2 linked regions of the Arabidopsis thaliana genome follow. The protein of the gene in region 2 interacts with the protein of the main gene of each other region in a biochemical or structural test. Each region holds a gene or a part of one and is shown on either strand. Other genes may lie near its edges.

The links.
Region 1: the proteins of NHX1 (region 2) and AT3G03000 form a complex in vitro, tested with the Arabidopsis thaliana proteins (one study listed by BioGRID).

The regions. Positions count from the first base shown.
Region 1 is NC_003074.8:669,378-684,820, forward strand, and holds AT3G03000 (EF hand calcium-binding protein family), read left to right. Parts: upstream 1-7,862; 5' UTR 7,863-8,010; coding exon 8,011-8,508; 3' UTR 8,509-8,803; downstream 8,804-15,443. Other genes in the region: AT3G02975 (uncharacterized protein), read left to right, coding at 1-149; EXL6 (EXORDIUM like 6), read right to left, coding at 1-303, 584-1,118; MCC1 (MEIOTIC CONTROL OF CROSSOVERS1), read right to left, coding at 1,520-1,643, 1,729-1,957, 2,058-2,157, 2,468-2,612, 2,693-2,838; HSFA1E (heat shock transcription factor A1E), read left to right, coding at 4,237-4,482, 5,451-6,611; AT3G03010 (Peptidyl-tRNA hydrolase II (PTH2) family protein), read right to left, coding at 9,605-9,654, 9,745-9,771, 9,873-9,942, 10,083-10,152, 10,253-10,312, 10,401-10,459, 10,557-10,760; AT3G03020 (uncharacterized protein), read left to right, coding at 11,700-11,903; AT3G03030 (F-box/RNI-like superfamily protein), read left to right, coding at 12,875-13,822, 13,909-14,049, 14,138-14,473; AT3G03040 (F-box/RNI-like superfamily protein), read left to right, coding at 15,308-15,443. UniProt on the Arabidopsis thaliana protein: Potential calcium sensor that modulates ion selectivity of NHX1.
Region 2 is NC_003076.8:9,543,667-9,562,047, forward strand, and holds NHX1 (Na+/H+ exchanger 1), read left to right. Parts: upstream 1-9,633; 5' UTR 9,634-10,101; intron 10,102-10,444; 5' UTR 10,445-10,584; coding exon 10,585-10,749; intron 10,750-10,821; coding exon 10,822-10,940; intron 10,941-11,361; coding exon 11,362-11,459; intron 11,460-11,570; coding exon 11,571-11,630; intron 11,631-11,717; coding exon 11,718-11,764; intron 11,765-11,856; coding exon 11,857-12,051; intron 12,052-12,140; coding exon 12,141-12,187; intron 12,188-12,277; coding exon 12,278-12,344; intron 12,345-12,430; coding exon 12,431-12,531; intron 12,532-12,620; coding exon 12,621-12,861; intron 12,862-12,949; coding exon 12,950-13,012; intron 13,013-13,093; coding exon 13,094-13,177; intron 13,178-13,270; coding exon 13,271-13,600; 3' UTR 13,601-13,928; downstream 13,929-18,381. Other genes in the region: AT5G27120 (NOP56-like pre RNA processing ribonucleoprotein), read left to right, coding at 1-18; AGL39 (AGAMOUS-like 39), read left to right, coding at 2,967-3,887; AT5G27140 (NOP56-like pre RNA processing ribonucleoprotein), read left to right, coding at 4,876-4,953, 5,055-5,099, 5,153-5,245, 5,325-5,489, 5,570-5,770, 5,867-6,364, 6,436-6,708. UniProt on the Arabidopsis thaliana protein: Acts in low affinity electroneutral exchange of protons for cations such as Na(+) or K(+) across membranes. Can also exchange Li(+) and Cs(+) with a lower affinity.

The sequences.
Region 1 (15,443 bases), on a different chromosome or scaffold from region 2:
TGCACTTGGTTGCAGGGTCCACAATATACATTGACGAAGATTCATGGTTTTTCTTTACGTCATCGTTGTACGGTGTCGTCTCAGATTTGAATAAGGACTTGGTTAGATCTGGATTGGTGGCCAAATCGGCTAAACCGGTGGCTAGCTGAATAACCAGTGCGTCAGCTCCGACTTCTCCACTTGCCGGTTGATAGGTCATGCCACGTGGACCCTTATCGGCCGTGTGGAAAGGCCAAGCGCACTCTCCGGGACATTCCACCTCCGGGTTGCTTACCATTATGTACCGTCGTGGTTCTTTTTGACCTGCGTGGGATTTACGTAATGACGTCAAATTTTTCTTTTGTTTGTTGTCTAATACTACAATCTTTTAGAACAAACTAAAAAAGCTACAAAATTATGTAGAACCAATAATCTTTTTCTCAAGGGTAAAATAGATTAATGTTATGCAATTTAACGAGGAGAAAATCAAGACATACTTAAAATATATTTATTGTACTAGTGTCGATCTCTCACGGTGCCATATTAATCCAGGTTTAAATCTGAGAGATGTAGACGGAAAAAAAAAACGAAGAGAAAATCAAACCTTTAATTTTGGCTAGGGCGTTATGTTGGCAAGTTCCGTCACAAAACCCTACGCCATGAGCCCTAACTTGCGCCGAAAGTAATACCACGGGAACCACTTTCGACATATTTCCGATAGCCGTCTCAACAAGTTTCTCACCGTTCCCCATTGTCAATTCCTTTCCATACTTCATCTTCTCATCCACATAACTCCGGACAACCTTCACCTTAATCCTCGGAGCTACGGTTCTGTTACTCTTCTTCTGTCGGTAAATATCCTTCACCTCAAACCTCTCTTGGTAACTCTCCACCACTTTCCACCACGCCGATACCTTCGGGTCAAGACCTTCCTTGGCGTCGAAGTTAAGCGATTCTATGAAATCGTGAACCCTCTCCTTTTGAGTAGGCGTGAATTGGCCGTACCATAGTAAAGAGAGATCTAGGGTTCCGTTTGGGATTTGTGAAGGTGGCTCACGTGAAAGGCAGAGAGGCGCCAAGAGGAGGAAAATGATGACGGATATGGAGGAGGAGGAGGAAGAAGCAGACGCCATTGCCATTGCCACCGCGTGAAAAAAACTTTTTTCTGTTCTTTTGGCCTTTGATGGGGATTTTCTCAGGCTTTTTTGAGGGAAGTAAATAAAATTATCGTTTAACCTATTTTTTGACATCCTAAGCTGGTGATTTTGTTTTTGGATAATTGCCAATGAAGCAAAAGAGCTATTTTCAACCAAGCTAACTATTTTAAGAAGGGTGGTGAAAAACTCATAAGAACTTCCTTACACCTTATAAACACGTAATGATCAGCGTATAAAACCCAAAAAACAGTACATTAACGGTGACTATTTACCTTTTCATTACAGAGTTCACAATGAGAAATCAAATGAATGGGAAATATAGTTTTAAGTTAAATGAATTCGTACGCTGATGATGACCCTAGCTTCGGTTTGGTTTGCGAGGGTTAGACACAATCCGTGTCTTTGCAAAACAGCCATTTCAAACCTTTCTCATCCTTGTTAGCCAGCTTAGATGCCACTGACTTGATACCACTCTTCATATAATTCACAACAAACATCGCCACCTCTCTGCAAATTACAGTAAATTGTTGTAAACCATTATAGAGTACAAGAGAATCAAAGACTTGTTTTGTCTGTGAGTAAATCTCCTTACAAGGGTGAGCAAGGAGTTCGAGAACCGTTGATGAAGTAGACAAACAAGAACGCATCAAAATGATGTCGATTGATTAGATAAAATCCATGTAATCTCCGCACGCATCTGAACATCAATCTTTTGTACAAACAGATCGCAGCATTGTTGTGTGCAATCACATGAAGGTAAACTCCGCGACACACAGATAAACCGGAAGCATATTTAATTACCTCACTAATAAGTGACATTGCTGAGAGTTAAAAAAAGTTGCAGAAACATCAGAAATTATAAAACCAAGCAATATATAGAACATGTTTCAGATACTTATTAGTATTATAAGAGTCATGTACCGATTCCACGGTTTCTGTATGTTTCTACAACTCCGAGTGTCAAGATGTATATCAAAGTCTCCTCTCCTTTCGAGGAATCGTAATGTATAAGATCATCTATCTGTGCAAGACACAGAAACCATCTGCCAGCTGATGAAGATAGATAATAAGAAGATAAAAACAACACTAGACTCAATTGCATTACCAGAGCTCCCAAAACAGATTATTCAATCATAATTCAGACATTATTACAAGCCGCTGTTCTAAAGATTTTTGACAAGTGAAATAACTTTTATTTAGTGTACATGATCACAGACGAACCAAAAACCATAAGCATTATGAACTAGTTCAACATTCAAGGTGATTACAGGACCTGAAAGATCATTATTGTTCGAATTACAAAAAGACGAATTCATAGAATGAAAACTAACCTCGCTATCTTTGGCAAGCACAAATTTGGCAGTAACAAAACCAATAAGTTCATCAGAGTGATCATCAGGCCGGCTCCGATCAACAGCAGCCCATGAGACGATATCAACTCCGTTCACAACACTCTGGAAAAACTCAGACTCATACCTGACAAAACAAAAATCAATACTTTAGAAATCTTTTCACAAGACACCAACATAGGAAAATCCAAGTAGATGGATGCATACTTGATGGGGAAGATATCGCGATGGATTTGCTCCAAACGATCTAGATCATTAGGGTTTATAGGTCTATAGTGAATACTTGGGCAAAGAGAGATTCCTGCATCTTCCATTGATGAATCATCTATGAATCTTCGAGGAAATCGCGACATTGTTTGGTATCCGAAGAACCAGAAAAGCCACTTCCCATTGTGAAGTGCCAGATCACTGGATCCGACCCGTTGAAGTAAATGGATCCGGATAGATTTAACGAATCTGGATCTGAGTGGGTTTGTTTGGATTTGATTGGTTAATCTTCGGCGAAGGAATCAATCAAGAACCGAGTTTCGAGCATGGGAAAGAAAAAGGTGCTTGCTTGCTTTGCCCTCTCCTCTGTCTCTTGGGGCTTTTTCTCGTTCCAAGTGAAGCATCTTGGCTCGTGTGCTTTGCGACAACCAATCACGTGCCTCTTTTAGAAGGAGAGTACTAATGTACTATTTATGAATGGAATATTCGATTCTCTTAAATGAAAAATTGTTCCATTTTCAATAATATAACCATTTTTAACAATAAAAATTCGTACTGTTTTTTCTATCTGAAAAAAATGGATTTGAAAAAATTCGTACTTTCGATTCATAATCTGCTTTTTATTATTATTCGTTATAAGTCTGTACTATGGTAAGAGAACCTTAAAATATTCCCCTCCACAACAAAAAATAAAAATCAAACTGGAGAAGAGTTAGGCAGTAAAGGAGAATTTCCTTGCCCTATTAACTCGATTAGGCGGGCCAATACACTTGTTATGTGTTTTCCACTTTTCTTCGTTACAAATTTAGATTAGTCTTACATGATGAGCCGTTAGATATCATAGAAAGAAATAATCTTATAAAATTTGATAAGATTTCTATAATCCACAAATCTGGATCGATGTTTATTTCAGATTTATAAATATTGTCTTAAAAAAAAAATTATTGGCCGTCTCGGCGGCAAGCAGAGAGAGAGAGACTCAACGTTTTCGTAACAACAAAACTTTGAGTAGCAGAAAATTATCCAAAAAAAAACGTGAAACGCAAATGGAAAAAATTGAGAAAAGTAACGCGAGTCCAGTGCCACGTATGAAAAAAAGAGCTTAGGACCAGATACGTTAATCAGAAAAAGACCAGGTACGTACGTTAATTAATGTTTTTTTAAAAAGGCCAAGCACGTTAGTCCAGCCCACGTGGTATTTCTTATCTTAACAACAAAACTAATTTTTTAATTTAATAATCGGACGTTGCAGAGGTAATCAGATCAACGGTAGAGATTACGACACGTTATATCACTCTGCGAAACTCCACCGCTTTCTGGAATTAAAAAAATCAGAGTGTATAAATAAAAGAGCAGAGGTAAAAGCTATCTCCAGAGTTTAATATAAGTGTAGACAGAGAGAGAGAGAGCTTCTTTCTTCTTCTCTTCGTCGCTAAGAGATGATCTTCGAATATAAATCTCTGTAAGGTTTGCGAAGACCGGAGTAGTGAATCTCGGAATTGTTGAAGAAGACGGTACACCGGAATCAATTGCGATTTTGATTTATGGGAACGGTTTGCGAATCTGTAGCGACGGCGAAATCTTCGACGGCGGTGATGAGCTCCATTCCGCCTTTTCTGAGCAAAACGTACGATATGGTTGACGATCCATTGACGGACGACGTGGTGTCTTGGAGCAGCGGAAACAACAGCTTCGTGGTTTGGAACGTGCCTGAGTTCGCCAAACAGTTTCTACCAAAGTATTTCAAGCACAACAATTTCTCCAGCTTCGTCAGACAGCTCAATACTTATGTGAGTGAACTTCGATCGATTCTTTTTTATTTGTTTTTCTCTTCATTGATTCGATTTTCTTCAATTTCGTAGTTCGATTTTAGGGAATCTTACTTTATGTGCTTCATTTTTATTTTACTCTCTTGTTTTTTTTGTGGTTGAATTAAGCATTAGTTATTGATAAAACTCACGAATGATTTAAGGTTGCAAGAAGGTGCTTTGAGAAGTCGACTCCTATTTAGTGTATAGTATGATGCTACTGATTGATGTTCCTATATAGTTGTTGACGCTGGTGGTTGAACTATGCACGTCTAGTAGGTTGTGTTAATGTTGATTTTAGTTGCACTAACTGTTAAGATTGGATCTTTTTGGGTTCTGACAAACTCGTGCAAGATAATTTCACATATTTGTATTGTTCTTCAGTTGTTTTTTGTACATGTATACCCTGTGAACTGCAGGCATATATGTTTTTGTTTTTCTAAGTATCTGAGCTTGCATCCGTGTCTGTGAGGCTGGAATGAATTTTCTTAGGTCAAGCAAAACTAACAAGTGTATACTCTTGCGTAGCTTGTTCCTCCCCTGTTCTTATTTACTTACCAAAAGGTTCCACGAACTTTGCAGGCTTATTTGGACATGTGCTCATATGTGTCTGACGATTGGTTGATTCAGCACTTCCATTTCTGGCCTCTTAAGTCACAAAACAAAATTTCTATCAGTTGTCCCATGTTAGCTTTCCATTCGTTTGTATTTGTCCGTCCAGGTACATGCCGATACACTAACAACTGTATTAGTTTCCTTGGACCATGGTAGTTTGGTGCTGCAGCTAGACCCAGTGAACGTATCATACCATATCTAGAATAGTTGTTATTAACGTATTTAATGGTCTTTATGTTTATACAAATCTTCTATGTTGGCTTCCTATTGCAACGGAATCCAAGTAACTTCTTGCGGTTGATGACTGTTCCATTCTCCATGCTTCTTTTTTTCAGGGTTTTAGAAAAGTTGATCCAGACCGCTGGGAGTTTGCAAACGAGGGCTTTTTAAGAGGCCAAAAGCAAATACTAAAGAGTATTGTCCGGCGAAAACCTGCACAAGTGCAGCCTCCACAACAACCTCAAGTTCAGCACTCATCTGTGGGTGCGTGCGTTGAAGTGGGCAAATTTGGACTCGAAGAGGAAGTGGAAAGACTTCAGCGCGATAAGAACGTCCTTATGCAGGAACTTGTAAGGTTGAGGCAGCAACAACAAGTTACCGAACATCATCTGCAGAATGTGGGGCAGAAAGTTCATGTGATGGAGCAGAGGCAGCAACAGATGATGTCCTTTCTAGCAAAGGCTGTCCAAAGTCCAGGTTTCTTAAACCAATTTTCTCAGCAGAGTAATGAAGCAAACCAACACATTTCTGAAAGCAACAAAAAGAGGAGGCTACCTGTTGAGGACCAGATGAATTCTGGCAGTCATGGGGTTAATGGTCTTAGCCGCCAGATTGTGAGATATCAGTCATCGATGAACGATGCAACAAACACTATGCTTCAACAGATACAGCAGATGAGTAATGCACCTAGCCATGAATCTCTCTCAAGCAATAATGGTAGCTTTCTTTTGGGCGATGTTCCAAATTCTAACATTTCAGACAATGGGAGCTCCTCAAATGGATCACCTGAAGTTACATTGGCAGATGTTTCATCCATTCCTGCAGGCTTCTATCCTGCAATGAAGTACCACGAGCCTTGTGAAACAAATCAAGTCATGGAGACCAATTTGCCTTTTTCTCAAGGTGATCTCTTACCTCCAACGCAAGGAGCAGCAGCTTCTGGGAGCTCAAGTTCGGATCTTGTTGGATGCGAGACAGATAATGGAGAGTGTTTGGATCCAATAATGGCTGTTTTGGATGGCGCACTCGAACTAGAAGCTGATACCTTAAATGAGTTGCTTCCTGAAGTCCAAGATTCTTTTTGGGAACAGTTCATTGGTGAGAGCCCAGTGATTGGTGAGACAGATGAGTTAATCTCAGGATCAGTGGAAAATGAACTGATATTGGAGCAACTAGAGTTACAATCAACCCTGAGTAATGTGTGGAGCAAGAATCAACAAATGAACCATCTTACTGAACAGATGGGACTTCTCACATCAGATGCTCTCAGAAAATGAGATTGCCACAGGCCACAATCTTTCCTCACGAGGTAATCAGTCTATCTATATTGATATGTTATAAACCACACACTTTCCAAAATTTAAATTTTGTGCAAAACCAAACCCCTCGTCTTTGTCTTGTTATCGCAGATGGGTTAAGATTTTGTGGAGCCGCAACAACAAAAAGAATATGACCAAAGGAGGTACTATGTATGTATGTATCAAACTGTTGTAACTCTAATTCTTGTCAATGTATAATAAAATAAGAGAAATATTGCCTTAAAAGATTTTTGCATTGCAATATCTTTGTTTGTTACTGACAGAATGAAAAGGAGATGCTTCAAAGTGAGAGATATTCTTCTGTTCTTGTGTATGTCTTTAGAGATCCTTGTTTATTTTTGTTACATTAAGTGCAAAAATTGGCATTTTGGTTAACCTGTGGCCAAATCTTACCTGCTTTAGTGTTTTTTTATCAGTCCTTCACTTTTAGTTTCTTGAGTAAAACTAATGTTCCAATTTCGTCTAAAGGAAATCATCTAAAGAGAGAGTAAAAAGGAAGAACGTGTGTCGTGTGGATATAGTAACAAAGTGGTTTAAAAGGATCAAGTCATTGATTACACGGAATCAAAGTGTATGTACATGCATATGTTAAGCTCTGAAACTGCAACCGAACCAGATCCATTTGTCGTTTGTATCAATCTTAAACTTGCTTTTAACATTACATACAACATTACATATGATATTACCATTAGTTGTAATTTATATAGCTTATATGATATATATCTATTTCTGAAAACTATATAAATATTTTACATATGATAAATTTCACAGATATCTCATGGATATATTGCTTTAAAAGAGGATATGAACATTAATAAACATGTAATTTGTTAAAAGAATTGATAAAGACCATATATTAAGGATAAAATAGTTACTCTGAAAGAAAATTTGAACATTCATGCATGCAATATATAACGTATGTCGAACACTCGATTCATATATAGCTAACAAATGTCGAAAATATTATCTTCTTTAAAATACGAATCAAAGCTATAACATTTTTCTATTGTCAAGAAATCTTTTGGCATCCATTTCTACAAACCAGTTCCGGTGAATTAACGCTTAGCACGACTGTTTTCCCTCCACCGAACAACCTTTGACCGTTCCAATAATTGGTTCAATTAATAATTTAATTTAAAAAATTTCGTATTCCATCCACAATCATTTATTTGATTTAAATAAAATAAAATTTTTATTCTCTTGCTCATTAATAAGAAAATCAAAATCTTTACTCGTTTGAAATTTGTAATCCATTACCTGTCATCGTTGACTTGTCAAGAAGAAACAAATCAACTCTAAAAAGAAAAATGTTGTTCATCGAAATCGAAGCTTGACAGTATTCAAAATCAGATTCGAGATGAGCTGCGACGGAGGCAAACCGGCGCCGGCGAAACTAGGCGACGAACAACTAGCGGAGCTCCGGGAGATATTCCGATCATTTGACCAGAACAAGGATGGAAGTTTGACGGAGCTCGAGTTAGGCTCACTTCTAAGATCTCTCGGTCTAAAGCCGAGTCAAGACCAACTCGACACATTGATCCAGAAAGCAGATCGGAATAACAACGGACTGGTCGAGTTCTCCGAGTTCGTCGCCCTCGTCGAGCCAGATCTGGTCAAGTGTCCTTACACGGATGATCAGCTTAAAGCCATCTTTAGAATGTTTGACCGCGATGGAAACGGTTACATAACGGCGGCGGAGTTAGCCCATTCGATGGCGAAGCTAGGTCACGCGTTGACGGCGGAGGAGTTAACGGGAATGATCAAAGAAGCTGATCGAGACGGCGATGGTTGTATTGATTTCCAAGAGTTTGTTCAAGCGATTACTTCAGCTGCGTTTGATAATGCTTGGGGTTGAAGAAAGAAAGGTATATATATACATAGTTTGAAATACTTGTGTTTTGTTTTTTTGGCTTCATCCTCAAATCAAAGACATTTGGAAGTATATGTGTGTAGGTGCGATTCCATGGAAAATGTGTGTTATTTATTGTTTCATATTATTCTTTGATGAAATTTTGATAGCTTGAAGAGAAAGCTATCATTGTTGGTTTTAGGGCAAGAAAACTTTGCTATGCGTGTGAGTCACTTCTCCACCCGTCGCTTTAGCCACTTTAGTTTATGGAGATAAAGGTCTCTCAATATGCAAAACAAAAGAAAGCATCAAAACTGACTCTTTATCTTTATATGTATGGGGGATAATCAGCAAATATCGTATGATTATGATCTTCTAGTAAGACAATTGCACAAATTCATGTAAATTCGAAAACGATCCCCAATAATGGTTAAGGAGAAGGGAAAACAAATTTGTCACCGAGATATGTCAAATGATTTGTGAATCCAAGAGTTATTACATAGATTTAGCCCACATGTCTTCTTCAACCAGTCCTGCACGAGTTACATAGATTTAGCCCACATGTTGCTAACAACTAACAATCTTTGAGTGTATACGCATTCATTGACTATGCTAAATGCTAGAACTCAGAATAAACAAACATTTGAAATGGATATTACAAGCAGTATTCCCGGAAATATATAGTAATTGGTAGCACGATATACAGTGACATCAATACTATTTTAGCAAACGACCACTAACTATAGCAAGAAGTGAAACACTTATGCTGTATATTTTGATTAGCTGTTGCGCAGGAATTAGACTCTCCTTAGGACAAAATCAGTCAAAATCAATTCGTAGCTTAAACGCTTCAGTTTATAGATACAATAGACAAAACAAAGGAGAGCATCAAAACTTCATCTTTAAAATGTTGTGGATAATCAGCAAATGTTGTCATATGATTATCTTCTAGTAAGACAATTGTACAAATCCATGTAAAATGGAGTTATCTACTCAGAAGAAGGGAAAACAGATTTGTCACCGAGAAATGTCGAAAACTTGGGAGCCAATTAGCATGCTCTCCTTTCTGCCAGAGTGTTGGTAATGTCGAATCCAAGAGTTATTACATAAGCTTTAGTCCACCTGTTACTTCATCAACATTATCAACAGGTCCTGCACAAGTAATAGACTTATTAAACAATTGCACTTGTAACTACAATTTGTGATATAACTCATCTCTTCTCATAGATGATAATAACTTACCAAGAATAGCCATTACTGTCCTTGAATCTGGAAAAGAAGAGAACAAGTAGGCATATTAAGTTTTTCTATTAATGTCAGACTAGGGTTAAGCAGGAGGATTCCAAATAACAGTAACTATAGAAACTCACTTGGAGCGATCTGTGTTTTTCCCGCATCAATGGTGATATGGGTTGGCAGTTTCAGGGTCTTTGCTCTTTCCTGTCGGTATCAACAAGATTGTTACACTCTTCACATAGGAGGATCTTATGACTTTTTCTTCTTCTCTTATTCAATACCTAGGAAACTGCAATCTTGCAAAGGGCAAGTATATTTACGTAGCACATGTTCAGTAAACTCACTTGCAAAACTAGCATCTCTTCCTCACTTTCAATTTTGACAACAACTTTTGGCTGAGCACAATATTCCCATCTGCAAGAGCAATAAGTAACTGTTAATTCCATCCGTAGCCTGAAAAAGAAACATAGAATTGAAGTAGAGTATGAGATGGTGTGGCATACCGCATACCTACCTGTTCAAGGCTTTTGGCGCCCGTTGAAGGAGTTTCTTGTATAAACCTAAAGTTGCATGACTACATATAATATGCAAAACAAGAGAAAAGGAGTTGTTAATTGAATTCAAGAAATGCAATTGAAAACTGAAAGAGGATTGATAATCACCTGCATTGAGCTGCAATCTTCCCTTTACCCATTTTAAGATCATTCCTCACAACCAAAACCTACACAGACAACAACAACAACAACAAGAAGCATTTATATCAGCTACTGGTATCTTGGTGCAATACAAAGACAAGGAGGCAGAGTGAGGCTAGGTACCATTTTGAAATTTTTGCGAAAATCAGCGAGTTTCTCTATCTCGAGGGGTTCCTTGGACTTGGTTTTCTTATTCCCGCTGGATCCTGCATCTATGGCGACAGATTTGGAGGAGAGAAAGATTCGGCGGGTTTGTCGTAAAGTGCTGATGTAATATCCAAGTGCAGCTCCAACAAGTAAAACACTTAATAACCACACCAAATCCATACCTCCTACAAGAATTAGCAAACAAAATTCACAACTATCATTAACTCAAACAATGTTGAATCAATGTGGTAACTAAAATCAGTGTTCTGATAAGAAAATAACATAGTAACAAATTTTGGGAATCTAAAAGTGAATTAAGAAACTAGTGCATTAGTACTTGTTTCTCTCGGAATCAAGTAAAAAACATAAGCTAGTTTTAAACATACAAAAGCTGTGTTGGAGCTATTGAATCGATAAAAAAGCTACTTGACGATTCTGGGGTTTCACCAATAGGGAATTTAAGTAGACAACAAACTAATAAGCATTATCAATTGTAGAAATAAATCTACGAGGGACGGTTAATGGAAGATTCGTTACCTTAAAGTCTTCCGGCGGCTGAGCTGTGACAAGTCTGTTTCTTCGTTCAAGTTTCAACGATTTTGGCGATATTCTGGTGTTTGGCCACACGAATAGGTCTCTCCTTAATATGTTTAAAAGTGTTGTTCCCAATCTTTTTTATATCGGCAAAATTTGGGCCTTTGAGATGTTGAACGGCCCATTTTCATTTTTAAAAACAATTACTTTCTGGCATTTTCGAAATCATATTTACTTTCCTTATTATTGTTTTTTTTCATAAAGCAAAGGAAATTGTTTTTGTATAAAAAAAGTTGAAACCAACAAATCCAAGACTCGTGGTTTCTTCATGCCATGGAGATAAAAAAAAAAGAAAGAGTCCAAATATTCCTTTAAAGTTAACGCGTCTTCTCACTTGTCGTACGGCATTGACCTCCTCGTAGATTATTTTTCTTCTCAATTAAAACCTCTGTGTCACAGTCTCAAAATCAGTTTCCTACTCGCGTTGTTGTTCTTAAGTCATAAGTGTTAGGTTTGAATCAATCGCTCTAGTACCAGTGGAACTGTTGATTTGCTTAGCGAGAAGATGGATCTGAGACCCTGAAGATGATCTGGAGTTATCTTGGTCCGAGCAGTTCATATGTCCTTAACATCTTCGGGGAATGTCAAAACCATTTTATAAACACAAAATCTTCTTCTTCTTCTTCCTTTCTCTCTCTCCATAATTCTTGTTTGCGTCATTCATTCATCACATATCCACATACCACAGAGACAGAGGAATCGTCCTTTATCAGAAATGGCAGGCAGTAATCTTCTCCAAGGTATACTCTATTTATTCTTCTTCTTTGATGGTACTACTATTTGATCTGATCTATTTTGAGTTCATTTTTCTCTAGTTTGGACCTGGAATCAGTTTCTCTCTTGTTAGCTATTTCTCTCTTCTCTATTGTATGAAATCAAATCCAAATCTATTTTGCTCTTGAAGACAACCTAAAGCTTTCACCTTTCTCTCTTCTTTACATTTCAATAAAGCTCATTGAGCTATTTTGCATTTTCAGTCTCTTCTAATAAGCTCAATGAGCATATATCTATTTTCAGTCTCTTCTAATTAGCTGCAACAGAGCCAGCCATATGATTCTTGTTGCTACTAAACCTAAAGACTCTCGCGGAAGCAGCAGCGATGAGATGATGATGAATGATCTGGATGAGATAATATTTGGTGAGAATAGTTTGGGTCATTCTTCATCTGCCTCTGGAAATGATCAGAAGAAGCAGAAATCGTCTAAAAACAATGAGCTCATTCACTTGTGAGATGTGTTTTGTTTTTCTTAGTGGATTTGGATTGGTGTTTAGTCTTTGGGAATATGCATCAACAGTTGTTATGTAAGTAAACTAAAATTAGCAGCCTTGTGGGATTGAAATATATTTAGGGTGTAACCTGTATATTTCGCTGCTCTGTTTTGGTGTTATTAATTTATCTAAGTGATTAATCGTTAAGACTTAAAATTATATCAATATTTTAATTGACAAAATATCTCCAAATTCCCCTAAATTACGCACTCCGTCCCTCTCTTCTTCGACTCATTGAGGAGTTGCCCTAATTTGTAGTGTTAAGAGTTGTGCGAAAATTTGCATTTTCAATGTTGTTGGTGTTTTCGGTGTCACAGCCTCAAAATCAATTTCCTACTCGCGTTGTTGTTGTTGTTGTTAAGTCATAAGTGTTAGGTTTGAATCAACCGCTGTAGTACCAGTGGAACTGTTTTGATTTGCTTAGCGAGAAGATGGATCTAGTGAGCAGTTTACCAGACGATGTTCGTTGTCATATACTGTCCTTCCTTACCACAAAGGAGTCTGCTTTGACATCTGTTCTGTCTAAGAAGTGGCGGAATCTGTTCACGCTTGTCCCTAATCTCGACTTGGATGACTCTGAGTATCTTCATCCGGAAGAGACTAAGTGGGAAAGAGAAGAAATTCTGGATAGCTTCTTGGATTTTGTGGAAAGAGTATTGTCTTTGCAGGGAAATGGTCCCATTCGTAGGTTCTCCCTCAGGTGTGAAAGCGGTGTTCCTCCAGCTCGTCTGAATCGTTGGTTATGTAAAGTGCTGCAGCGTGGTGTTGCGGACCTTGAACTTATCATCGACTTCGAAGATGGTTATCTTCTGCCTCGAGAGTTGTTCGTCAGTGAGACACTCGTCAATCTCAGGTTAAAATCTGAATTTGGTTGTATTCATTGGTGGCCTGGAGCTGAAGGCACTTTCTTACCAAGGCTTCAAAGTCTTGATATAAGCTCTGCGATGGTTTTTTGTGATGATAAGCTTCAGAAGCTTCTTCCTTGTTTCCCTGTGATTGAGGAATTACGGTTGGTAGGTATGGAGTGGATTGATTCTCATGTAACCGTGTCGTGTGCAACCCTCACTAATCAGCTACTTCTTAGCTCCACCGGTTCCAGAACCTCTAAAAATCCAAAGAGCGTTTCTTTTGATACTCCAAATCTGCTTTCCCTAGCCTACTCTGATTTAGTTGCTGAGGACTATCCGTTGGTTAATATGAAAAGTTTATTCAAGGCTCGAATCATCCTTGGAGTAGATGACGATCAAATCGCCCGAATGCGAGCCCCAACTAACTATTTGTCAGAGGATGATGTTGTTCGCCGATTTGGCAATGTGGTGAAGCTCATGAAGGGCATACAAAATGTTCAGCAACTTCACTTGCATTCTGATACACTCGAGGTTAGTTTTCCATTTTCTTCTTTCTGGTCTAGTTGTAATGTATTGATTGCAAGATGATTTTAGCTGCGTTTTGTTTCTTGTTTCAGGTGCTTTCAATGTGCTGTGAATCGATGCCGGTGTTCAACAACGTCAAAACGTTAGGCATTAAGAGTGACTACGACAGAGGATGGCAAGCAGTGCCTGCTCTTCTAAGGAATTGTCCACATCTAGAAACCCTGACCTTTGAGGTGGAACTATAAACCATGAAACTAACTACTTGGACAAAACATGCAGTTCATTCTTATAGTAACCTTATTGTCTCGTTTCTGCTTTCAGGGTCTCGTGCACCATGTGACAGATAAATGTGGAGATGCTTGTGACTGCATTTTCCGGAAGGATAAAGGCCGTTCGCTCAAATCTTGTCCAGTAAAAGTGGTAGAGATTAAAGAGTTTAGAGTAACAATGAAAGAGATGCACCTGATAGAGCATTTCTTGGACAACTTTCCATGTTTGAAGGAGATGAAGATCTATAGAGAAGAGTATGATCCTTCACCGTTTGGAAACGACCCTCAAGTGGATGATCTTATCTTGGACATGATAGAAGAGTACAAGGATATATATAGTTGCAATGTCCAACTCTTGGAGCCGTGTGACAAGTGGGATGAACAATGAAGTCTTTGAACAAAGTCCCCCTAGGAATTTGACTTATCAGATCCGATCCTTGTTTTGTTTTAGTTATCTATGTGTATCTTTTAATCACACTATCCTCGGCTCGGCTAGACTGATTGCCACACCTATTTTGCTTTAGTCCTTGGAAACTTTCTGATTGCTTTTGGTTAATTTTCAAGACTCTGAATTACGTATTGCTTAAGGGTTACTGATTTTCATCCTCTGACTCAGTCTTGTGTGCATTTAACACTCTTTGCATCTGATCACTTGTTGGTTTCATTAGATCTTGCCGATATCAAATTATAAAACATTTGAGTAAATCTTGTTGTTGTTGCATCAAGCAGTTATCAGGAAAAGTGGTGAACATGAAGCTTCCTTCATACGAGGAGGTCACAGTAAATGGTGAAAGGAAGTCGTTGGTAACTTTCTTAACTTGGTTTACATGATGGTTAGAGCAAGTCGTTTAGAGTGGGTTTTACTTTTTCAGTTGCATAATATTTTCATGTTGGGATTGAAATAAAAGTATAATCACATGTATACAAAAACCAAACAGTATAACACGTCAAATCACATTAGAATAATTAATTAAATTTTATCGATAAAAATCACCAAAATACCAATAAATTCCGCACTCCGTCTCTTCCAGTCTCAGTCAGTCGCTATTCTCTCATCGACGTTTCATTGCCCTAATTTGAAGATTGGCCTCTGTAGCAAGGTATGATGTTGCTCTCAGTCTCAAAATAAACAATCTCTCTGCTTCAATTTCGAGTGGAACTGTTTGGTTTGGGAAATTGATTTCTTTGCTTTGCGTTGTGTATTTTTTTCTCTTCAGAGAAGATGGATCTGTTGAGCAGTTTACCAGACGAGGTTCGTTGTCTTATATTGTCCTTTCTTACCACAAAGGAGTCTGCTTCCACATCTGTTCTGTCTAAGAAGTGGCGTAATCTGTTTGCACTTGTCCCTAATCTTGACT
Region 2 (18,381 bases):
AAGAAAACTGAGGTCTGAAGAGACCTTTAATATTTTTGCGTGGTCTAGTTTACTTTGTTATCAGAAACAAAGAAAATCTTTTGTGGCGTTAGGTGTTAAGTAAGGTTTTTGTTTTGTTTGAAACTTAAAAAAAAGAACTACTCTTCGTTTTGTAAGGTTATAATATGTTTGGTTTAGTCCTTATCCCAGAAACTTGCATTTTGCCAAACGAGTCAAGACCTTACCGTTAAATCCTTCTAATCTTAGTATAACGTAATTACTCATAGTTGATTAGTTCATAAATTTGTAAAGATCAGTCCGAAGAGTCGACATTTTTCATCAAGTGTATCATTGACATTTTAAAAAACCTTGTACAAAATGAATATTTGTGAGTCTAAAAAGTACCTTAATAGTCAATTGGAAATGGATTGGGTTGAGCATAAGGCAAATCATACCAGACCTTAGAAATTTCAAAAGATAAATAAAATCTAGAGTCTACCTACTTTGTGTGTGTATATATTTTTATTGTGCTATAAATTTTGTGATGAATATGAATCAAAATTCTTTCTGAATATTTCGTGATAATGGTTCCGTCAATATCAAAATTTACTACTGAACATATATGTTTTAAAATATTTAACTGGATTTTAATTCATAAAGTTTTTTTTATTTTTAATTAAATTTAGTTGCCGTGGAAAAAGTTTAATCTATAGTGTTTTATGTAATCATTGTAGGTAATGTTCAAAAAATCTGCCTAGACACCTATCGAACTGGATTTTAATTTATAAAGTCTTTTTATTTGTAAGTAAACTAGTAGGCAGCCCGTGCCTTGCACGCAAAACAACAATACCAATAATATATTTCGTGTCTTTGAAATTTGCAACAATTACACAAATGACGAATATCACAACCTCACAAAATACAATGTGTATCACACATTGCTCTATAACTCTCAATAAAAGTCCTATTCAACTTTACTCAAATTGTAAAATAATATATGTGTTAAAATTAAGAAAACTTTTATTGGAAACAGCAAATAATCTTACATAAATACACTAACTTATCTCATAGATATATAGAAAAAAATATATATATATATACAGAGCCGTTTTTTCTTCTCAAAAAACTTAACAATAATAATGATGGAGAAATGAATTACCTTCTAACCAAAACGCTTTTCTAAACTTGAACATATAAGATGGTTTCACATTTAAATTATTTTGCACACTACACCGTGGAAGAAGATGTCATGTCATGCCACCCATCTCTCAATTTGGTTATCTTCTTCTTCTTCTTCTTCTTTTTCTGAATTGAAAGCCCCAAAACATTTGCATCCATTTTGTTTCTATATGATTCTCGCAAACTCATGTGGTCATTTTGTAGCAGCGGGTGTGCATGGAAAATGTAAGAAGATAAGACCAAGTAAAACGCAACAAAACGGCCAAAGGTTTATTGATATTCATACCAGCGATTGGGTGGACCAAACTCAGTGAGTCGTGAGGGGTTAACAGCGTCCATCACATTAGGTATCACAAAAGTCTCAACTTTCATTATTTACGTCATTCTTTCGTTTCTCTGGTAGACGTATTTAGATGAAAGAATGGAGGATCTAAGATTATGAGAAAGGAAAGAAGAAGAAGAATTTAAACCTGTTTTTATCTTCTTGAGAATGGCTTATACGGTTGCTCTTGAGATCGTAAATTAACTGGCAGAGGGTTTGAAAGATGGGAGAGAAAGTAAAGAATCTTAATAACGTGGAAGAAGTAGTTGCTGAAAAAGTGGTTAAAAAAATTTAAATTTATCTTTTGTCAAAAAAGAATATTCTATTGAATAGTAAAAGGAAGTGAATTGGTTTACGATTGTGGAAGTGCAAAATTTTAGACTTAAAGCATACGTGTCAAAATGAGAAGCTTACAGTTTTTTTAAAAGTGACTGTTGATTTAGTATTATTAGATTTAGTTGCCGCGAAAAAGTTTAATATATAGTGTTTTATGTACTTATTATAGGTAATGTTCAAAAAAATAGCCTAGACATCTATCGAACGTCTAGCTACCGTACAACGATTTTTTGAACATTGATTATAGGTAACTAAATCTACATATACATTTTTGCCGCCATTTTGTGAAATAAATCTTAGAGTTGGAACTTATTTATAATGGCTGCCACTAGCTTTTAATTATTGTTTTTTTTGCAATAAATTAATTAACAAGCAAAAAAAATTCCAAATATATTCTAATCCCATATATCACGCAGATTTCTCCAAAATTGAACTAAATTTCGGTAACTATTTAAAACAAAAAATGTTTGACAAACCAAAATACAATTGCAATCCCTTAAAATGAGCAAAATGCACCTAAATACATTTCTTATCAATTCACTAAATCTAATTTCTCCAAAATTTGAATTAGATTTCGACAAATATTTTTAAAAAAATTTGTTTGACAAACTAAAATACAATTGCAATCCCGTAAAATATTTATTTTAATTATATATTTAAATTAACGGTGTACCACTGGGTTTTTTTACGGGACGAGTTTGGCGGAACGGGTTTGAAAGAACGTTACTTAATAACAATTGTAAACTATAAAATATTTTTATTTTATAGATAGATATAATTTGCAAACTTTTATATATACTGATTTAAAAAAATAAATTATTTCTACGGTATAACGCGGGTTAAAATCTAATATTTAGATAATTTTGAATATCCAATATATATGTTTAATTGTTTATAGTAGTAATAATTTTTTTCTGCTATTGTTGTAATAAAAGAAATCTCTAAAACGTTTTAGTAGGAAAGAAAAAAAACGTTAAATGCATAGAAATAAAGTTGGGCAGTAAAAGGAAAACAACAAGACCTAATTAAGTTTGACATATATAACTCAGGCGGCTATTACATCTATAAATATGGGTAATATATCTATCTTGCTTCTACTCTCTCTTTTCACTTTTTCTCTGTGTCTATTTGTCTCTCCGTAAGAAACATTATGCCTTCATCTGATTCCACGATGATGAAGAAAGGAACAAAGCGCAAAATCGAAATAAAGAAACGAGAAACCAAAGAGCAACGAGCCGTGACTTGCTCTAAACGCCGTCAAACTGTTTTTTCCAAAGCCGCCGATCTCTGTCTTATCTCCGGTGCTAACATCGCCGTCTTCGTAACCTCTCCCTCCGATAGTTCCGATGTTGTCTATTCCTTCTCCGGTTACTCCTCTGCCTACGAAATCGCTGATTGTTACCTAAATCGCAAGCCTCCACCCAAGATTGTTAACCCGGCCGGATCCAAACTAGGATTTTGGTGGGAAGACCCTGATCTCTACCATTCGTGTGATGATCTCTCTGAGTTAAGCATTATCGAGGATCGTTTACAGAGAATGAAGAAGCATGTGATGGCTTGCCTTGAGAAGGAAGAAAAATCTCAACTTGTTTCTAGTTTCGACCAAAACCCTAATAGTACTTGTTCTCTCGACGTCGAGGATTGTGATGGATCTTCTTATTCGCAAATTGCTTCTACTTTTACTCCAAACTCTGTCAACGAGTATTGCAGCGATCAAACCTTTTCTTCTTTCCATGGCGATCAAAACCCTAACCTCTCGTCTCCGTCTTTTGATCAGGACTGTTACTCCTCTCTCTATCAGATCTGTGGAGAATCATCTTCACAAGTTGCTTCTTTTGATCAAAACCCTAGCTCCGAGATCCAAGGATTTGAAACAGAGGAAGAGATTAACCAAATCAATCTACTACTACAAGAAACACAAACAGAGGCCAATGTCAATTTGGATGATGAGATCTGCTTTTGGAATGATCTATCCAACGATGATGTGTTTGGTCTAAACAGCTACTTCGGTCTCGATAACACCAATGCAATGATCAACTTCGGAGATTCCGACTTTAGACGTCATGTCTGATATGATGTGGTTGTAATCTTCAGAACTTGTTCTGATTTTGTCTCATTGTAAACAGAGATTCTTGATCCAATTTAAGTTTTTGTAAACCTTTTTTCCTTTATTGTTTGATACTCTGATGTGAACCCTTTCGAAGTTGAAAGTAAATTGTTTGAATCAGTTTTGCAATTCCACTTACTAGTTTGTTGATGTTAAATTCAAGTTAGTGATTTGAATTTGGATTCTCAGAAAAGAAGAACACAGTTTTTGGAGCTTTTGCTTGTAATTTTACATGAGTTTTAGCCTTTAGCTGAACACTTTTTGATTCCTTAATGGTCATCTTGTTAGGTGATGTGTTTGAACTTTGAACAGAGTACTTGAGATTAATTTAAGATTATGTATGTAACGTAGATTAGATGAACATATTTATACCAACATTTTATTAAAAAAGTAACTATAATCATTTTTCGAATTAGTAATTAATTTTATAGTTTCTTTAAGGTAATCATATATTTTACAATTTGTATATTAAAATTAGCAGATCAAACTCTGTTTTTGATAGAGAATAAATAAACTTTGTTTTTGATAATCTTTTCCCTTAGAAGTAAGGTCGGTTATTTTGACATCTTTAAAAATTAATTGTATAATTCTTTTTAGAAATATACCATTTTAAGAAAATAAGAATAGTTTTTTTTTTAAAGGTTTTTTTTTAGTTTTTTGTGAAAATTATATTTTCACATGTTTTTTTTCCGTAACTTTTTAATAGAAAATCATATATTTATTTTCTTATATATATAGATCGTCGATTAAGAATCTCGAACCCTTATAGCAAATTCGTTGCTCCTCTTTTTTTCTTTCTCTAACGCAGCAGCTTTGCTTAAATCCTCTTAGGTATTTATTGAATCTTTCTCCGTTGTCAGTGGAACGTGGCTTCCAAGTATTAGTTTTTGACTAAGTATAGTTCTGACTTTGAGATGTTGAGTTGATTAAAGGGTTTCTCGTAATCTTAAAGATGCTCGTACTGTTTGAGACGTCAGGTGGTTTTGCACTCTTTAAAGTATTAGATGAAGGAAAGCTCTCTAATGTTGAGGTTATTTACCTTATTCATTCTCTTACTTTCATTGATCTTAACCTTGTCTATATGTGTCGTTTGTTTTTAATATTCTAAGTATGTCAAATTTGTTCTTGTAGGATTTGGGTACTGAGTTCTACTCTGCAGAGTCAGCTCGAAGGATGGTTAAGCTAAAAGCTTTTCATAAGTTTGACAACACATCTGAACTCCAAGCAAGGGTCTACACAAGTTTTTGAAAAATAACTGTGATGATGGTGAAATCTTAGCTGTGGCTGATCCAAAGCTTGGAGATATCATCACAGAGAAACTGGTGTGTATTTTGTTATGATCTTTTACATATTTCTGTATATATATGGCTTGTGTCTTACGGATTTGCTTCTCTCCTCTAGGACATAGAATGTGTTCACAACGATGCTGTTATGGAGCTGTTACGAGGTGTGAGAAGTCAGTTAACCGAACTTTTATCCGGATTGGATGATAATGATTTAGCTCCAGTGAGCTTGGAATTGTCTCACATCCTTGCTAGATATAAACTAAAAATCACCTCTGACAAGGTAGTCATTGAGTTCTCTGTGTTTTGTTTTACCCTTGCTTATGTTACTTTTCCCCTCTCATACTTAAAATGTTTTGTTAGGTGGAGACCATGATAATCCTATCTATCAGTCTGCTTGATGATCTTGACAAAGAGCTTAACACTTACACTACGAGCGTTTGTGAATTGTACGGTTTGCATTTTCCCGAGCTTGCTAATATTGTACAGGACAATATCTTATATGCCAAGGTGGTTAAACTAATGGGGAATCGGATTAATGCTGCAACGCTAGACTTCTCTGAGGTAAAGCCTTATTTACCATTCTCCTTGACTTTTTGTTTCCATTAAACTATAGTTTTGTCTTTATGAAACATCTTTCTGTGTCCAATGTCATCTCAGATATTGGCTGATGAAGTTGAAGCAGAACTAAAAGAGGCTTCTATGGTGTCTACGAGAACTGAAGTCAGTGACCTTGATTTGATGCACATCCAAGAACTCTGTGACCAAGTTCTTTCAATCGCTGAGGACAAAACTCTGCTTTGTGACGACTTGAAGAACAAAATGAACAAAATTGCACCAAATCTAACTGCCCTTGTCGGGGAGCTAGTCGGTGCTCGCTTAATATCTCATTGTGGTAGTTTATGGAACCTCTCAAAGCTACCATGGAGCACAATTCAGATTCTTGGAGCTGAAAAGACCCTATATAAAGCCCTTAAGACCAAACAAGCCACTCCAAAGTATGGTTTAATCTACCACGCACCTTTGGTTAGGCAAGCTGCACCAGAGAACAAGGGTAAAATCGCACGTTCACTAGCTGCAAAATCTGCTCTTGCTATCCGGTGTGATGCTTTTGGTAATGGCCAAGACAACACTATGGGAGTCGAAAGCCGCTTAAAGGTATTCTTCTCTCCCGCCCGATCCTATCTACATTTTTCTTCCTTCTTTGATGGTCTAATTTTTTTCGACAGCTTGAAGCGCGCTTGAGAAATCTTGAAGGAGGAGATTTAGGAGCATGCGAAGAAGAAGAAGAAGTTAATGACAAAGATACAAAGAAGGAGGCTGATGATGAGGAAGAACCCAAAACTGAGGAGTGTTCGAAGAAGAGGAAGAAAGAAGCAGAACTTGAAACCGTGGAAGATCCCGCAAAGAAGAGCAAACAAGAGGGTGTAACAGGATTATTACTCCTGATGCTTTTAATTTCTCTAATCTATTTCTTTTCTGTTAACCAGTTGCTATGGTAAGCCATTAGCTCAGATATACAAAATTATGCGTGAGTAACACGTCTAGTTTCTTGACGTTTTGTTAGGATCATGTTGATACTCTTTCAAAGTCATTCAATTCAAAAACGGTTTCCCTTGTCATTTGGTTCGGTAGACTTGACAAAAAAAATAATCAGTTAAAGATGTGGTTAAGACCAACAAATATGTTCACAAGAACGTAAACATCAAGGTTCTGTCGCTTTAGACTTGATTTACAAGTGGATTTAAACATGATTAATTCACAAGCTAAACATCCATAAGAGTTGGATAAAAAAAAAATCCAATTCCATAAATAAATGAAAGAGAAAAGTGGATCAAAAACAAAATCAAATTTGTAAAAAGGTTATGTGGCTTTGAATTCCATAACCTTTGAATCACTCAATCGAACCTATTGAAATTGCGATGCTACTAAGAGCCGGACCATAACACATGAACATGAAACATTACAGTGGCCCCCATTCTAAAGGGGCCTCAAAGAAATTTTATTTTAGTTATATATACATATATTGATTTTTGATAATGGGAGAAAATAGTTAGTTTTATACATATAAATCCTAAATAACTGTGTGGTCCAAAATATTTGAGAATATTATTGTACTTTTGTTTTTAACTCCAGAATTTTGTTTAAATTAGTTTCTATTTACTCTATAATTTTTAAGATAAGAGTACTTTGTTTTCGTAATTTAAATAGGGCCCCGGATTTCATTGATCCGGCTTTAGGCTCTAGAAAATGCCTTATATGTATGTTGAACAAAAATGCAGAAACCTTGAGATATCCATGATTGATGTAGAGAAAGCTCTGATGCAAAAAGTGTCACGCTCAATATTTACCTTTTTTGTGTGTTTTAATCTTATATCTTTACTCTATTAAGACCAGAACACTCTGTTTGCTTGAATAACAAACAATTTAACAATAACCAAATATTTTGTCATTTCGACATATGTAAGGAACGTGAGTTGGTTTATACTCTATAAGGAAAAGAGTTACCAATGAACAATAATTTCCTAATTAAAAATTAGTAAACGTTAAAAGTATTTTTTTGTCATTCCGACATGGCCTCGTTTTTTTCCTCGAAAATTTAGAAATAATCATATTATTTTTACTTACAAAATACATATATATATATATATATAGATATATATAACTATAGTTAGAACAACTATATTGTCGTGAATAGGTAAATTTGGGAATCGTGATGATATATAATTTGGATCCGTAGATTGTAGGTGATGCATTTTTGTACCTAATCTTTAATTCCAAAATAAGTGGATAGCTCTATATGAAATTTGGCCCTACTTTATTTGACATGACCTTTTAAATATTTGAAAAGCCATGAGACAATTTATTTAATTTTCATAACCGTGATAATAAAAACAATTTGTTTGTAAGAACAATTACATAACAACATTTATCTAAATTATGAGTCTCGTCGGCGGTATGTAAAATATGTTAATATTATCCTTTTTCTATGTAATAGAATAATAGATTATCTTTCTTGGTTGGCACTAAATTGCACGTTAAATACTTGAAAACTTTGTATGTTGAAATAGTAATCCAATTTTAACGAAACTTTTTATTTTGTAAAGATTTTGATGGGCTTTTTAAAACAATTTCTACGACGTGGACAGACTTTGGAGTTTGTATGATTAATTAGATTCAGATCCTCACGTAGATTGAATAAACAATAACTCAATAATTGATCCTTCTCAAATTTTAATAAAATAAAAACATTTTTTAATAATAAAATAACAACATTACAAAATACCAAAATATGTAGGGTAATAGTTTTTGCTAATATAGTTATTATATTATTACTAAAATATAAATTCACATGTTAATATTTGTTGTTGACAAAAACAAAAACAATGATATTACAAAAAAACAAATAGGGTGATTAAACGCTAGAAGATCCGTAACCATTTTGATGACAAAAAGATATGGTACTAAGATGAACACGTTTTTGAGAATATTCAAAACAAATTCATTTCCGAAAGATTATCAATTTTCAAGCATACAGTATGATCTGGTAAACTATAAATGGTAGAACCACGATAATTAACTAGTCGATTCTATATGTTATGACATAGACTTAGCTAGGAGCATATCCGGCAGACCGGCACTAATCTAATGATTTCATGAGTTGTTATTATCTAAACTAATTAACAATTAATAGAATGAAATATAGTTTTATATTTAAGTTTTTTTTTTTTTTTTTTTTTTTTTCGGAATATCAGGAGGTTCTGGGCCGAAACCCGTAATCCCTTCAGGCCTGAAACCACAACATGTAATATTAGTTTCGTCCCAAACATCACTCGAACTAACGACCTCTAAGTTTCGCCTAGGATCTTTACCAATTGAGGTAACAACGCTTGGTCAAGTTTAAATCATTGTTGCTTTCTGTGAGATTTTGATCCCTATAACCTAATTTATCTTATGAGAAATTAACCTTTTTTGATAAAGGATAAGGAAAATAGTAACCTTGTATAAAAAAATTCATTGCCATTTTCATATATATATATATATATATATATATATCCTAAAATGTATATCTCTAATAAAATTAGAAGAAATGATACCAAAAATAAAGGTGAAATCATGATAAAATTTTGTTTTTTTTTGTTTTGGTTCATTGAGTTTGCCATTAACGCTTTTTTTTTATAAATAATTTCGTCTACACAAATTCATCCATATAATATTTTCTTTTACTGCATCAGAGTTTCACTATGTATTTAGGTTTTTTATGAATTTTAAAAAAGTTCAGCATCAAGGTGAAGAAAATTCCAAAAAAATAAATAAAACGGTGACCCAAAAAAAACTTGTTGTCTTCAAAACCAAAAGTACTCGACAAATCAAATAGATAAATCATGAATCTTAGTACAGTCAGGTTTTATCGTCTACGATAAGTTCCACAATAAATCCAAACACTAAACTGTTCAGATCTCAGATAGTAACTTTAAATCAACGGCTATAAATTCGCCATTTGTACTTTCATTTACACAACAGAGAATAATACATACACTCTATCTCTCTCCTATTCGTAACTTATATTTCTCTCTCTACTGTGTTTAGAAATTGGAATCTTCTCTCTTCTCTATCTCCCTCTCTCTTAAAAAGGGACCGTACACGTCTCTCTCTATTTCCAGTAAAAAATCGAAATTTCGTATAATTTCCTCAGTCCCGTAATTTTCTCCTTTTTTTTCTTCCCCAATTCCTTCAATTTTCGAATTCGCCTCTCTGTTTCGTTCCTCGTAGACGAAGAAGAAGAAGAATCTCAGGTTTTAGCTTTCGAAGCTTCCAAAATTTTGAATTTTGATCTTCTGGGCTCTTTTGTAAATCAGACTGAAGATATTTAGATTACCCAGAAGTTGTTCAAGGTAAAGCAATTCAGATCAGATCCACCAATTTTTTTTTTTTTTTTCATTTGAAGTTTTTGTGTTTGTTGTTTGTTGTTGGGAGATATTTGAAATCTGGGTTATTAAAGTTCCGACCTAATTTCATATTGTGCTATTACCAAAAATAGGAAATTTTGAGAATTTGGTTTTATGTTGTCATCATTTAATAATATTAGCCTTTTGTGGGATTTGTGCTTTTTGTTGTTTGTATCAAAAGTCTCAGATTTGGATTCACTTTTTGTGTGTTTTTTATAGTCAAAGCTGATTCATGCTATACATTACACAGCTTCACTGTTTAGTCTCAGCTCTGTTTTCTTGAAAACAGGAATGGTTTCAGTGGACAGCACGGAAAGATAAAAGAGACTTTTTTTTCCAGATTTTGCTGATCCAAAATCTGAATAGTTGTTCATGTTCTTGGATCAAATCTGGAAAGAGGAAGTTTGTTGGATCTAGAAGAAGATAACAATGTTGGATTCTCTAGTGTCGAAACTGCCTTCGTTATCGACATCTGATCACGCTTCTGTGGTTGCGTTGAATCTCTTTGTTGCACTTCTTTGTGCTTGTATTGTTCTTGGTCATCTTTTGGAAGAGAATAGATGGATGAACGAATCCATCACCGCCTTGTTGATTGTAAGTTCACTCAATTGAAAAGAGTAATTACTGAGTTCCAACTTGAATGACATTTGAGCTATTTGGTTGCAGGGGCTAGGCACTGGTGTTACCATTTTGTTGATTAGTAAAGGAAAAAGCTCGCATCTTCTCGTCTTTAGTGAAGATCTTTTCTTCATATATCTTTTGCCACCCATTATATTCAATGCAGGGTCAGTCTTTTTTTTTACATCCATTTGAGCCTTTTCCTCTATGTTGGGATATATCTTTTAATGTAGGACTTAGTTTGGTAGGGTCTCATGCTATATGATACGTTTAGTTGCACGGGTTTTACCTACAAAAGTTACATAAAACAGATTGAAAGAAAAAACTTAGTTTTGAAAAGTATGCATTATGTGATTCTAGGTGATAAAGTTAGTACAACGCTTTAAAGATGTTGATTAGTAAGCTTAAGCTCTACTTCTATAAATACCTGTCATACATCAACTTTTTCTAGTACTTGTGATTGTTATAAAGAAAAGAGGGCATGATGTCTTTTTTTGAAGTAGTTAGATTTATACACGTGCAAGTAAGTGTGGTCCTGGATTTGTCTTTGTCATGGATCTTTCTCAGATTTGTTGTTGTCTATTTCAGGTTTCAAGTAAAAAAGAAGCAGTTTTTCCGCAATTTCGTGACTATTATGCTTTTTGGTGCTGTTGGGACTATTATTTCTTGCACAATCATATCTCTAGGTAGGTTACTTCGCTTTACGATTGGCTGAAACACCGCTGAATGCGGCTTTTTGGATTAGGTCGAGATAGTTTTGTATATCTCTACTGATTTTCTGGTGGTTCTTGAAACAGGTGTAACACAGTTCTTTAAGAAGTTGGACATTGGAACCTTTGACTTGGGTGATTATCTTGGTAAGGCCTGAACTAATGGCTTCTTTTTGGTTCCTATTGCTTTACTTAATCGGGAGACTTGATTTGTTTTTGGTGTTTGAATCTCAGCTATTGGTGCCATATTTGCTGCAACAGATTCAGTATGTACACTGCAGGTAATGTGTTTTCTCCAACATGACTTAAATTACTTACAAACCCTGAAACATAGTGGACCGAAAGTTTCTGTTCCTGTTGTGTTGTGATATAGGTTCTGAATCAAGACGAGACACCTTTGCTTTACAGTCTTGTATTCGGAGAGGGTGTTGTGAATGATGCAACGTCAGTTGTGGTCTTCAACGCGATTCAGAGCTTTGATCTCACTCACCTAAACCACGAAGCTGCTTTTCATCTTCTTGGAAACTTCTTGTATTTGTTTCTCCTAAGTACCTTGCTTGGTGCTGCAGTAAGTCCATTGTTTTCTTCCCTGCCATTCTTTCTTGTAGCTGCTATATGCACGCTCTGGTGTTCACATCTTTGTTATTCATCTTGCAGACCGGTCTGATAAGTGCGTATGTTATCAAGAAGCTATACTTTGGAAGGTACATATTTAACGTCATATATGTGACTTGTTTTCTTTAAGTTGTTTCCTGTTTGGTCTAACGTAGATGGCCTCACATTAATTGTCACAGGCACTCAACTGACCGAGAGGTTGCCCTTATGATGCTTATGGCGTATCTTTCTTATATGCTTGCTGAGGTTAGATTCTTTTAAATAACACGAACATATTCATTCAGTTGCATTCAAACACAAATTATATTGATGTTATATTAATTTGGTTGCAGCTTTTCGACTTGAGCGGTATCCTCACTGTGTTTTTCTGTGGTATTGTGATGTCCCATTACACATGGCACAATGTAACGGAGAGCTCAAGAATAACAACAAAGTATGCAAACTTTAGTTTCTCCGCCTTTTGCTGAGATTAACACTTTCTACCTCCCAATGATTATCTTATGATTTTTTTCGATGAAACAGGCATACCTTTGCAACTTTGTCATTTCTTGCGGAGACATTTATTTTCTTGTATGTTGGAATGGATGCCTTGGACATTGACAAGTGGAGATCCGTGAGTGACACACCGGGAACATCGATCGCAGTGAGCTCAATCCTAATGGGTCTGGTCATGGTTGGAAGAGCAGCGTTCGTCTTTCCGTTATCGTTTCTATCTAACTTAGCCAAGAAGAATCAAAGCGAGAAAATCAACTTTAACATGCAGGTATGTATCATTCTACTTGGTACTAATAGATTCAATAATTCTTCTGGATTTCAGCTATTTATATCTATCATTTTTTCCCATTCTTTAGGTTGTGATTTGGTGGTCTGGTCTCATGAGAGGTGCTGTATCTATGGCTCTTGCATACAACAAGGTATAAAAAGAATGTCTTTAAATACTCTCTATGAAGCTTCAAATGACACAAATCATCATTTAACACTTGTTTCTATTGTAGTTTACAAGGGCCGGGCACACAGATGTACGCGGGAATGCAATCATGATCACGAGTACGATAACTGTCTGTCTTTTTAGCACAGTGGTAAGAAATCTCTGGATGATCAAATGAGTTACATAATATTTCTTAATTGAATTGGACATTTGGTTAATAGATTCTCTTGAACCTTGTTTTCAGGTGTTTGGTATGCTGACCAAACCACTCATAAGCTACCTATTACCGCACCAGAACGCCACCACGAGCATGTTATCTGATGACAACACCCCAAAATCCATACATATCCCTTTGTTGGACCAAGACTCGTTCATTGAGCCTTCAGGGAACCACAATGTGCCTCGGCCTGACAGTATACGTGGCTTCTTGACACGGCCCACTCGAACCGTGCATTACTACTGGAGACAATTTGATGACTCCTTCATGCGACCCGTCTTTGGAGGTCGTGGCTTTGTACCCTTTGTTCCAGGTTCTCCAACTGAGAGAAACCCTCCTGATCTTAGTAAGGCTTGAGGGTAACGTGGAAGAAAAGCTTTGATTTTTTTTGGTAGAAAAGGGTGATTCAAATTATGCTTTTGTGTAAATTATCCATTTGTAATATTGTTTGTGAGGACAGAAATCTGTCCTAACGTTTTGAGAGCAGAAAGCAAAACATGGCAACTTTGAAGTGTTTGATTGATGTATGTAATTATATTCATATTTGTTTTGTTGTAACACAAACTACACATTTGTTTATGTTTTGAATTTGGTTTTTGCTTCGAACTTGAGGATCGGATTGGTACGGTTTGGTTCGATTTCGGACAAAAATATTAATAAAGAATTATTTCTTTATGTCAAAACAAAAATTTAGTGAACCTAATGGCTAATGATATCAAAATTTGGTAGGTCTTGAAACTTATAATCTAACTAGATTTTAACCCGCGGTATACCGCGGGAACAATTTATTTTTTAAAGTTAGTATATATAAAAGTTTACAAATTGTATCTATTTATAAAATAATTTTATTTTATAGTTTACAAATGTTATTAAGTAACATCCTGCCAAACCCGTCCTGTAAAAAAGAAAACCATTTATTTTATTAATGTTGATCTTATTTATGATATGTTTATGAATCATTGTCTAAATATTTTGTAATTTTGTAGTAATTAAATGCTATCAGATTATATCTCTTCGCTTTGATGATTATAATCGAATTGTTATAGTTATGGAGAAAAGCAATATCAAAAATGATAATTTTGTAGTAATTAAATGATATTAAATATTTTAGAAGTATTATTTTAGTAAATAATCGTGTAGTTAATGTGGAGAGATTTTGGGAAGATTGTTAAATGTCAAATATTTAATTCGAAGATTTTCTTTTTAATTATCAAAAACAAACATTAAAATTCAGTGGCAGCCATTGTAAATAAGTCTCAACTACAAGATTTATTTCAAAAAATGGCTGCAAAAATGTATATATAGATAAGAAACGATAGTCGGTTTTGATAGGTATAAGATTAGCAAATATATTAGTTAGCTTAAATTAGTTAAAGAATACAAATTGAAAAGGTATATTACATTATTCGAATATAGTATCAAAACTTATATAACACAGAGATTTGATAATTTTTTAATTGTTGAATACTTTTTTGTGCTAATTTTTATGTGATTAAGATTTAATTGATTTCGTATATAAAATATTAAATTAACTTATTTGTTTATAATTTGGTAACAGATAGATATTTGAATATTCAGTATATTTTGCTTCAGTTTAGGAAATCTTTGATGATCCGTCTTTAAATCCAATAAGCCCTATAATCTAGATATTAAGCTGCAGTATACCGCAGGTAGGCTTATATTTTAGTTAAACTAAAATCTTTTATCGTAAAGATGATTTTAAAATATATGATATTATTTTATTTTATTTTATATGTATAGTAACTGTGAGTTCATGTATATGTTTTGTTGATATTATCTATATTGTTTAGTGTTTAAGATTATACACTTGTAGTTTGATTATTGTTAATTTAAGAGTTTCACCTGTAGTATTCCATCTTGTATTAATATCGATCTAAACCCGTCAATTTTAGGATTTTCAAGCTTTTATTAAAAATTGAATCACATCTAATATGTTATTAATTATTGTTGTATATAAGATTATAAATTTTCAATATAATATGTATGGAATTGAATATAAATATTTCTAATTATGACCCGTTACTCAGTAGAAAGTTTTCTTAAATCTATTTTTCACCCGTTATAATATTTTTTCATGTATTGAACAGTTTATATTTGTTTTTAAAAATTCAAATTGTGGCATATGCGAAATAACTCTAATTATTTTTTTATAATGATGATATTATTTTCCCGCAAAAATAAAATCATATAAAGATGAGAAGTGAACTATAATAATTAATAAAAAATTAATATGATAATTTAGATATCAGATATAGTTTGTTGATTTTAATTTGTTATTTTTTTGGAAATTAATAATGTATTTCGTTTTTTTAATTAAATCAAATTAATTAAAATTTAGATATCAAATGTTATATGTTGATTTTGATTGGTTATTATTTTTGGAAAATAATAATTTATTTCGTTTTTTAAATTTAATTAATTAAATTTAATTAATTAATTTAGTATTTGACTTTTTTATCCTTAAAAAGATAAATTAATTTACTCTTTAAAATTTTATTTCTAATGGCATACCTATGTAATTACTTACAAAAATTAAGGTTACATTTAAAATGTACTTCCCAAATAATATAGTAGGATATATTTGTTGCAAGGGAGACTACCATATTAAATTGTGAAATTTATTTCATTGTTCTAAATTTTAAAGAATAAGTGAACCAATTTCTTGAGTGTTTTAGTTTTGTCAAAAGAAATATTAAGTGAACCTAATGCAATAAAAGTTTGGTAGGTCTTGAAATTTATTTTTAATAGAATAATTGTTAGTTGCCAAGGAGAAAGCCATATTAACTTTTATGTTTTTTTTTGGTGATTAGTCGACGAGAGAAAATGACGTGAATTGAAATTGGAATACCTCGACTTGGAAGTTATGAGAGTTATCAAATATATTGTCATCTTTTGTACAATGATGGTGTAATTATATGTTCTAGAGGAAAAAAAATGTTTGCTATTTCATCTTATTTCATTAATAATATATATGTTATAAGTTAAACCTCAACCATACAAGCTCTATTTTCATGTTATTTTTTTTTGTCATCATATGTAAAATTCGAATAACAAAACCTTCGATTTTTTTTCTAAAGTTCTTTTAAACAATTTTATATTCTCTTGAATGAGAGTTTGCAAAAACATAGCAAAATCTTTTCTAATCTGATATGAGAAAAACGTAAACCATAATAAAGAGGATTCATGAGAGATCATTATTAGTAGCGGCAAAATATGATGTCGCCAATATTGTAACATCAATAGCAACAATAGAGAAAATACATTTTTATTTCTTTCAAAATCTCATATTCTTGGTATCAAAATTTTCTTACTTTTTTTCTTTTCTTTGATTTATTATCCCCTAAATTTTCTCAACAAATCTTTTATTTATTCTTCTCTCTCTTTCGTGATCTCTATCTCTTTGTCTTTCTTCATCTTTTTCGTTCACCTCTCTAAACTATCTCAATGCTTCTTTGATTCCATTGTCGGTTTCCTTGTACTCGTCAATTTCATGTTTTTTTTTCTATCAATACATGTGAAGTTTGAATAACAAAATCTTCGAAGATATTTGTCAAATTCTTCTACATCATTTAATAATTGTCTTGAATGCAAAACATATCAAAATCTTTTCTAGTCTGATAAACAATAATAAAAGAGATTCATTAGAGATCATTATTATCATCTGCAAAATATGATGTCGCCAATATTGCAACATCAATAACCAAAATTATGATTGTTGTTCGCATGACGATATGATTCAATACAACGATGCAAAAATTGTTAGTGTCGTTGGACTTAGTCATTAGACTGAGTCTTAGTAGTGGGAATAAGATGCTTGATTGTAGGAGTAATTGAGTTGTTGTTTGTTTCATCGTGTCAAAGTCCTCCGAGAAAGTAGGAGGCAGTTGTATTTGAGTTTTGGCTATTTAACGCCTCACAAATAATGAGAAAAGCAGAGTTGCAGTCTCACCATTCAGTTCTATATTCTCTGTTATTAACAAAAATCTCATCTTTTGTATCAATTTTTTTTTAATATTTTATTTTCTATGTTATCTCCAACCCTTCGAATCAAACAATGTCAATCCCTCCGCCTCCGCCCCTTTTTGGAACTTAATGCATCATTTTTATCATATGATATAAGTTTGTTGATGTATACCTGAAAAGTAATATCTTTTAAAGATTTAGGAAAATTGCTAATTTCGCATGTTTGGTTTATCATATGAATTCTTTTGTTTCCGGTGTAATCCGGATTATATATATTCTCATCTTTGAGATCAATAAATTTCGATTCACAGTAGGATCCTTCTATCGGTTTCATCCGGTTCTCCTCTCGCTTTAGCGGAATTCGATCTTACTCCATTTTCGTTCTCACCGGCTTTTCTTCAAAGATTTCTCTGTTTTCTCCAACTGATCGAGGAGTAATATCTTCATCGCTTCCTTTGCTCTAGACGCAAGAGCAACTTGGATTCAGATCTACATCAAGATGGGTATAGACGGTGGTGGAGCTTCCCCGGATTTGGTTTTTGACAGAAATTTTTTGAAGCTATGATGATCTCTCAATCCGGTAGATTCGATGCTTTTTTGGGTTGGATTCGAGATCGGACAGAAGGCAGGCCGATACACATCGATCCAGGATTGATTAGCGGCGGCTAATTGAAGATTTGGCGATGTCCGGCGAGCTCTTGACGGCGGTGCTACAATCCTCGACACGTAGTTAGGCGGAGACACGTCCTATACACGTGTTGTTATTTTGTTAATCATAATTTGTGTTTAATTATGGTTTAAATGGGCCGTTTTTATTTTCGTTGTATCCACTAGACTAACCTTCTGTACTACCTTTTGGGCTTTACTTAATGAAAATTTGGTCGACAAAAAAAAAAAAAAAAAAAAGCATATTTAGTTGGGCTAACACGTGATCAGCGAATCAGCCCTACAATAGCCCAAATATGTACCCAGTCATTAGATTAATGATCTCTCAAAACGGTGTCGTTTCAAACTGGACCACCTTATAAATACGGAAGAATTTCTATTCTGCCATGATTCGAAAAAAAAAATTCTATTCTGCCACCCAAAAAAAAAGAATTTCTTTTTGATTTATTTTTAAATACCAAAACAGAGAGAGATTACCAAATAACCTT